Coturnix japonica: one gene and its partner. The protein of the gene in region 2 binds, or shares a complex with, the protein of the main gene of each other region. Links are inferred from orthologs where the notes say so. Each region holds a gene or a part of one and is shown on either strand. Other genes may lie near its edges.

Region 1 (3,651 bases), on a different chromosome or scaffold from region 2:
GTGCATGTGAAATTATGTTTTTCATTCCTCTAGTATTTATAATACAAATCAGACAATATTGGTAAAACTCATTTTGCTTCCACTGTAATAGTAAATTGTATTCAGTTTGCAGGATATTTATGAGATCAGTCATATGTAAAGATTATATCTTTAAATCCATGCTGAAATGTTCTGATTTTATATCCAAAACCGAATTCTTATAATTCTGAAGTGCTTATGAACATCATTGATTTGGGGTCATTATTGCCTGGCTGTTTTGTTGTACGAAGAAATTACATATTGTGTGTGTTGTGATCCAGAAATAGGCAAACAGATTTACAACATAGCTGAGGTTAATAGTTTTCAGTGGAAGGAAAGCAGTTAATAATGTACATGCAAACTTCTTTGTGTAAATTAAATCTCATTTATTTCAGTCAATTAGAAGCTAAAGCTGCTGTTAAAAGTTGCTTATTTGATGGATCTGAAGTCCAAATTGAGAAGCCAAAGTGACCAAATTATTTTAGTTCCATAATTTCTATTCTATTTTTAGATAAAAATGTCATTTTTATGAATCATAGAAAACTAAATATGAACACTTGTTATGAGTCAGTTTGTGAACTTTTTCATAGTTGAAGTTTAAGTCAATGATTTTTGGTTCATCTGACTGTCAGATATGCATCTGACTCAGATTAACATTTTATTACTCAGTCTAAATTTATTCAGTTTGCCAAAGATTTTCACAGGCTGAAGCTTTTTGTTTACAGCATAAACATACATGAGATTTAAAAGGCTATAAAATAACTTTCCTCGAGCCTTGCATTTAAGATTCTGATATTAACACTTTGCATCTCGGTCCTTTGGGCAGTAGACAATTAGGCCTCAACTTTGGCTCAAACACATTACAGAAATAAGTAGCATCTTTAAAAAGCCTGTTTCTTCTTTTGTTTTCAGAGATTACAATGGTTGACACAGAAATGCCGTTTTGGCCCGTTAATTTTGGAATTAGCCCAGTGGATCTGTCTACGATGGATGATCATATGCATTCCTTTGACATAAAGCCATTTACCACTGTTGACTTCTCAAGCATTTCTTCACCACACTATGAAGATATACCTCTTGGAAGAGCTGATCAAACGAGCATGGATTATAAGTATGATATCAAGCTCCAGGATTGCCAAAGTATGTTTTTTATTTTTCAGTGTTTCTTCGTGCTCACATTTGCTTTGTTCTCCAGAAATTGTACCACCAGCAAAAGAACTGGATGGATTCAAATGCCTAAATGCAGAGACTGTGAATCCAAAAATCAACAGAGATATCCACGTGATATCCTGATAGGACAGCCTTCACTCAAGTAGCCTCTAGTGATTAGACAAGGCGTCATATAGTAACACGCAGCATACATAGAAAATAATAATACACAGAGCTTTTGAATTCCATACAGGCTAAGAAACTGATGGAATAGAAATATTGGCTGCATCTATGTTGGTAAAACAGTGTTCCTTGAAGCTTTGTGACCTAGTATTATTTATATGGTACAAAAAACCATTGCCTTTCCCCAGTTATGTAAAGACAGTACACAGAATTCTCCTTCTAAGGAGGAAAAAGTAAAAAATAAAAAAATAGTAGTCTACTCTGAAATAAATTGCTATTGCATTCCTGCTCATAGTAAGAAGTCAGGTTGCTGTGCCTGGAACTTTTTTAAAGATCCTCTGAGTCTATTCAAATCTGACATCACTTTTGTAGGAATTTTTCATGAAGATTATACTATTTAGTTTTGTAGTAGAGTGAACCAGGTGCTGTGTGCTTCTGAGTTATTTATGAAGTGAATTAAAATACACTTTACTGCTAATAATTTATTTCTCTTTTGCTTGATTAGAAAATTCCATAATATTTTCATAACAAACTAAAGAGTTGATTAGCTAAATCATTAGGCATGCTAAATCCTCTTGGTCTTTTCTCAGCTAATTTTCTGCTTCCTTTTTTCCTGTAGTTTCTGTAGGAAAGAAAACTTCCCGGTTTATTTAGTGTAGCCAAACAGAAAACAAAACATTCACGTTATGGTAATACTGCATCTGCCATGTAATTCCTGAAGTATGATTTGATGTAATGTTATATATGGTGTCAATTGTCACAATTGCCTTCTTTGATCAGCAGTGATTGATTTAAATATGTCATACTTATAATATCGAATAAGCTCAAGCAACCACAGTGTGCTCTCAATACTTAGAAAATTTGGGAATATTCATCTCTAAACTGCATCCAAAGTTGAGCAGTCCTGGGAGAGAGTTAAATTTCATTAAATACACAAATTATTCACTGTAGGTTAATTAGATGCTTAGGTGTTTTTCATGGGATCAGTGTGTCCAGTTCAACTCTCTGCAGTAGTCTGAACACCTTAAAGTCACCTAATTAGATATTAATAAAAGGAATAAGACCTTTTAAGTAGGAGGTCTCTGTATGCAAATTTTACATGTCTGTATTAAAGTCATTCTGCACTACAGAGCTGGAAAGTGAATTTGTGACATGATTCCTATATGCCTCTTCAAGGTTTTCAGCCTACATACTACCAGTGAAATATCTGCATACAGCTTATACTCCCTAACATCCTTTGTTTGCTACCATCATTTTGTGTTACAAAGCATACCTATGAATCTGGCTATGTTTACTGTGATTGTTTCTGATTCTTCCTTCTACCATATTTTTACTCATACTTTGAATTACTCATTTAAATCTTCTCTATATGCAGGTGCAATCAAAATGGAGCCTCCTTCTCCACCCTATTTTTCTGAAAAAGTGCAGTTATACAATAAACCACATGAGGAGTCTTCCAACTCACTTATGGCTATTGAATGTCGTGTGTGTGGGGACAAGGCCTCTGGATTTCATTATGGAGTTCATGCATGTGAAGGCTGTAAGGTAAGTCATTGCAAATCTGTTTTCTCTGAATATTTGGTATTATTTTCATTTAAATAAGCTTTAAGTCTTTTAAATTGTTTCTTTATTAATCACTTATTATTGATTTCAGAAAGTACATTTAGACTGTCAAAAGACAGACCTGTGAATTTCCATAATGATGTCCGTCCTTACAGGACCTCATAAGATTTCTGTTTAATAATTACCAAGAGTTTGGTATCAAGTTTCTGAATTTTTTCATGTGCCAGTGTACTTTGCAAACTTGTAAAATCCTAACAACAGGAATAAACTAGAAAATAAAACATCAAAGATAGAACCCGGAAATATACATTGTGAAATTAGGTTAGCACAGTGCAAACAGAAAGAAATAGAGTGACTGCTTGTCCCATGAGCCCTAAAAGCCCTATTTCCGTTTCTTGGGCTCACAGTTTCTGTAGTACTGTTAATTTATGTTCATAGCATCCTTCCAACCCCATTCATTCCCATTAGTTTTTATAGATTTTTTATTTTTTATTTTTTAGACTTTTACCCGTATCAAGCTGGCAGAAAATGGCTTTAGAATGGGAGCATGCTGCTGTGCAGATATGATGACACAAGCATTGCTTTCTTCAGAAATCTGTCTAATACAAAGTTAGACTGTGTACATGCAGAACTGTGCTTTGCGTGTCTATACAGAATTGAGACAGTGACACTGGCAGTGCTTATTCTACCTTTTTACATGCTTTTATGTTTATTACAGGGCTTTTTTCGAAGAACAAT
Region 2 (3,751 bases):
AACGTATCCGAATCCGAACTGATATCATCGTATTCCACCAACGGTTTGATCACAGCTCCCAGAGGCGCCGCCGTCTCTTGGGCGGCCAACGGTGACTCCTTGGAGTGCCGGGATTTATGCCTCTTATGCCTTGAAGCCACCCGGTGCCTCTCCTTGCTATTGGAGCTGCCCGATGAGTGCAGCGAGGTCCCCCCGCCGCCCCCATCCTTCTTCCCCCCATGTCTCTCTTGGTTTGGCATTCCTCCTCCTCCACTGTGCTGGGACAGGGGGAGGCGGGGGCGCTCCTCCAAATCCTCCTCGACTTTCCAACTCCCTCAGCCTCCCTCTATTCGAACCATTCACCGCCCCCCGGCACCTCCTGCTGCATGGGGAGCGGGACGGAGAGAGCGAGGAGGAAGGGAACAACGGGGAGAGGGAGAATGGGAAAGGAACGGAACCGGGAGCGGCGGGGAAGGACACCGGGCCTCAGCGCCTCATCCGAGGGGCCCAGGCCCGGAGGGCAGCGCCGCCGCGGGGGGAGCCCCGGGAAGGCGGGAGCTGGGCCCACGATCCCTCCCGGTCCCGTTGTGTCCGGTTCCCTCCCGCCCTGTCCCAACCCTCAGTACCGGGTTCCCACCGTGCGGCCCCGTTCGGTCCCCGCCGCCCCGGCCCGGCCCAGCGCCCCCCGCTCACTTCCCAAAGCGAAACGGCTCCTCGGCCCAAGGGGGGCACCCGCCAAGTCTCGCGAGATAACTGCTGCTTCTCGCGAGACTCGGCCTGAGCCCTCCCCCCGCGAGATTTCAAGCGCTGAGAATTGGGAAGGCGGAAGGGAGTGCGCGCGCGCGCACCGTCTTCTCGCGAGGTCTGAGAACGAACTTTACTCCGTCCCGGGGAGCGCACGAAGCCCCGCCCCTTCCGCCCGCTCAGCACCAATCAGCATCCAGGGGGCGGGGCTTGAGCGCAACGCCCCGCCCCCTAATCACTCCCCCTTCTCACCATGACTCCCTACCTCTCGCGAGACTCAGAAGTTCTCGCGAGAAGCGGGAGCCGCGGCCGGAGGGATGGCGGCGGGCGCCGCCGTGTGAGGCCGGAGCGGAGCGGCCCGGCCGCGGTTTATCCCCATCCCTTCCCGTTTATCGACGTGATACCGGCCCTGTGGCTCCGCCGCGGGCCGCCCCTCCCCTCCCTGAGGCATGAAGGCGGTGCCGGGAGGCGCTGAGGGTGAGTGCGGCCTAGCGGGGCTGCGCTGTGTGGAGGCGGAGGGAAGGCCCGGCCTCCTCGGGATGGGGGGGGTTCCACAGCTCGAGGGACGGCGGTTGGGCCTGCAGGGAACGGCGGAGCCCGGCCGTGGGGTCCCAGTGGGTCTCTATGGGGTCTCTATGGGTCCCTATGGGTCCCTATGGGTCCCTATGGGGTCTCTATGGGTCCCTATGGGTCTCTATGGGTCCCTATGGGTCTCTATGGGATCTCTATGGGTCCCTATGGGTCTCTATGGGGTCTCTATGTGTCCCTATGGGTCCATACTCACCATGTGTGGGTCGTCGGGTCCCCTCCCCACTTTGGGTCTCTATGGATCCCTATGGGTCCCAGTGGGTTTCTATGGGTCTGAATGGGCTTCAATGGGGTCCCCATGGGTCTCAATGGGTCTCAAAGCTGGGCATTAAGCAGCTCCAGAGCGGGGCTGTGGTGGATGGAAATAAAGGCTGATGGGCTCCTGTGGTAGCGAACCGTTCGGTTGTTTGTTCTGCTTTGATTTGATGGGGTTGGCATTAAGTCCATGACATCTGTGTGTATCAGTTTATAAACCCTTCTGATTCTATAGGCCTTGTAGGGTCATGTTCTATGGCAGTTATGTTGCCATAGACTTGTGTTGGAGCCAGAAATACCTGGTATCAGGGAGATGCCTTCCATAACAATGTAACTTAATAAAGTGCTACAATGAGTTTTAGAGCCCCACAATGTATAGATTGGATTCAGCACACATTTATAAAGGCTGAGTGTGTCCCGGCTTGGAAGGGCTGTGCAATCAGCTCACGTTCTCTTTTGTTTCTATGTTTTCATTCCGCTTTGTCTGACAGAGGCAGAGAAGCTGAATAAGATGAGTGCTCTCTTAGAAAGACTTCATGCAAAGTACAACCAAAACAGACCTTGGACTGAAACCATGAAGCTGGTCCGTCAAGTCATGGTGAGAAGTGCTGGGGTTTCCTTTACAGTGATGCTCAACACTCAGTGTTATCTCAGTCAGATGCAGCTTTGAAATACCTTGGTGAGGGTAGAAAGGAGTGGGAGGCAGGGAAGAGCATCATCAAAAGCTGCTGTATGTGTTGTGGTGTTAAAGTTAATCTCTCTTTGTTTCTCTTGCTCCTCTCATATAACTCGTAGCTTATGCTATTTAAGAAGTTGTTGCAGTCTGATCTTTCACAAGAGCAAGCTTAATAATCAATTCCAGACCTGCCTGTTTTACCCACTGCAAATATGGATATGATTCTGGTACAGGAATCGCAATGAGGGTGTAATTTGGGGATGAAATCCAATCTGCCTTTAATTACCTGAATAAACCTCACTCGACTGAATGAAAATTGCAGTAATTTTCCTCTCATGGAGTGAAACTTTAAAACGACTGTTTTTCTTCTTTCTGACGTAGGAAAAACGACTTGTGATGAACTCTGGGGGGCACCAACATCTGGTGAGCTGTTTGGAGACCTTGCAAAAAGCATTAAAAGGTTGGTACGTGCTGTGCCTGCACTCAGGAAATGCTTAACAGTGATATACTATGGAAATACTCTGTATTAGAGGAACCTGCGAGGTTATTGCTTGCAAAGCTCAGTGTGCTCGTGGTGCTTATAGAAGCATGCTTATTTCTTGTGAGTCATTATCAGCCAAAATTGCCTGTGTTGCTTTTATTCTTATTGCCCATACATGGATTCCACTTGTGGATGAAAATCCACACTGAGAATGTTTGTTTTTCTCTATGCAAAACGATTCTTGTTTTTTGAGTATGGAGTGGGTGTGAGTAAGTAGTTGGGATTGCTTTTAATGCTGATACATCATTACTGGAAAGATGTTCAGTCGTATCACTAAGGCTTATTTTTGCTTTCTTTGTCTAGTGTCTTCTCTGCCTGCCATGACAGATCGCCTGGAGTCCATAGCCAGACAAAATGGGTACATCTTCTCCTTTGTTTCACAGCAGTTTTGTATCTCCTACTTATCTGTATACATCATAATTTTGCTGCTGGTTTGACTGTTTCTTGTGTGTATCTCTTAGTAATTTTTGCTTTGTTTTGTATTTAAGCCTTGGATCACACCTCAGTGCAAATGGCACCGAATGTTACATCACTTCAGACATGTTCTATGTGGAAGTCCAGTTAGATCCTACAGGGCTGCTATGTGATGTCAAGGTGGCTCACCATGGAGAGAATCCTGTGGTACGTATTGCTAAGAAATACAAGAAAAATACCTTTGTTTTTGGAACTGCAGTTTTGCTTCCCTTTTTCTTGTGCAGAGAAAATGGATTGTACTGAACATTCCCCCAAACCTAATGTTATATCTGCTTGTTCTGCTGCTTCTGAAAGTTTCATTTCTGGGGGAAGAATAGGGAAATTAATCTTGTATTTGTGAGTGTTTTGTTGCTTCTCATCAAAACTGATGCTCACAGACTTCACTGTCCTGATATTTTACAGCTGCTGTGCTGCACAAAGACTTACACTGAAGCATTTGATGTTGATTTTGCTGTGTGTTCTTTCCTTTTCAGAGCTGTCCAGAATTGGTGCAA

Evidence for each region.
Region 1: the proteins of MED1 (region 2) and PPARG are in contact, whole or in part, in a crystal structure (PDB 6ONJ), measured with the Homo sapiens proteins. The link is inferred for Coturnix japonica from reciprocal best matches to the Homo sapiens genes MED1 and PPARG. Residues at the interface, in NP_004765.2 of Homo sapiens: Asn638, Thr639, Asn641, His642, Pro643, Met644, Leu645, Met646, Leu648, Leu649, Lys650, Asp651; in NP_056953.2 of Homo sapiens: Val321, Gln322, Thr325, Glu326, Lys329, Phe334, Leu339, Asn340, Asp341, Gln342, Val343, Thr344, Leu346, Lys347, Gly427, Leu429, His494, Pro495, Leu496, Glu499, Ile500, Lys502.

What each region holds. Positions count from the first base shown.
Region 1 is NC_029527.1:3,245,454-3,249,104, forward strand, and holds part of PPARG (peroxisome proliferator-activated receptor gamma), read left to right. Parts: intron 1-930; 5' UTR 931-938; coding exon 939-1,158; intron 1,159-2,725; coding exon 2,726-2,895; intron 2,896-3,631; coding exon 3,632-3,651. UniProt on the Homo sapiens protein: Nuclear receptor that binds peroxisome proliferators such as hypolipidemic drugs and fatty acids.
Region 2 is NC_029542.1:3,842,962-3,846,712, reverse strand, and holds the start of MED1 (mediator of RNA polymerase II transcription subunit 1), read left to right. Parts: upstream 1-995; 5' UTR 996-1,172; coding exon 1,173-1,200; intron 1,201-2,057; coding exon 2,058-2,164; intron 2,165-2,623; coding exon 2,624-2,702; intron 2,703-3,086; coding exon 3,087-3,141; intron 3,142-3,271; coding exon 3,272-3,404; intron 3,405-3,730; coding exon 3,731-3,751. Other genes in the region: CDK12 (cyclin-dependent kinase 12), read right to left, coding at 1-239. UniProt on the Homo sapiens protein: Component of the Mediator complex, a coactivator involved in the regulated transcription of nearly all RNA polymerase II-dependent genes.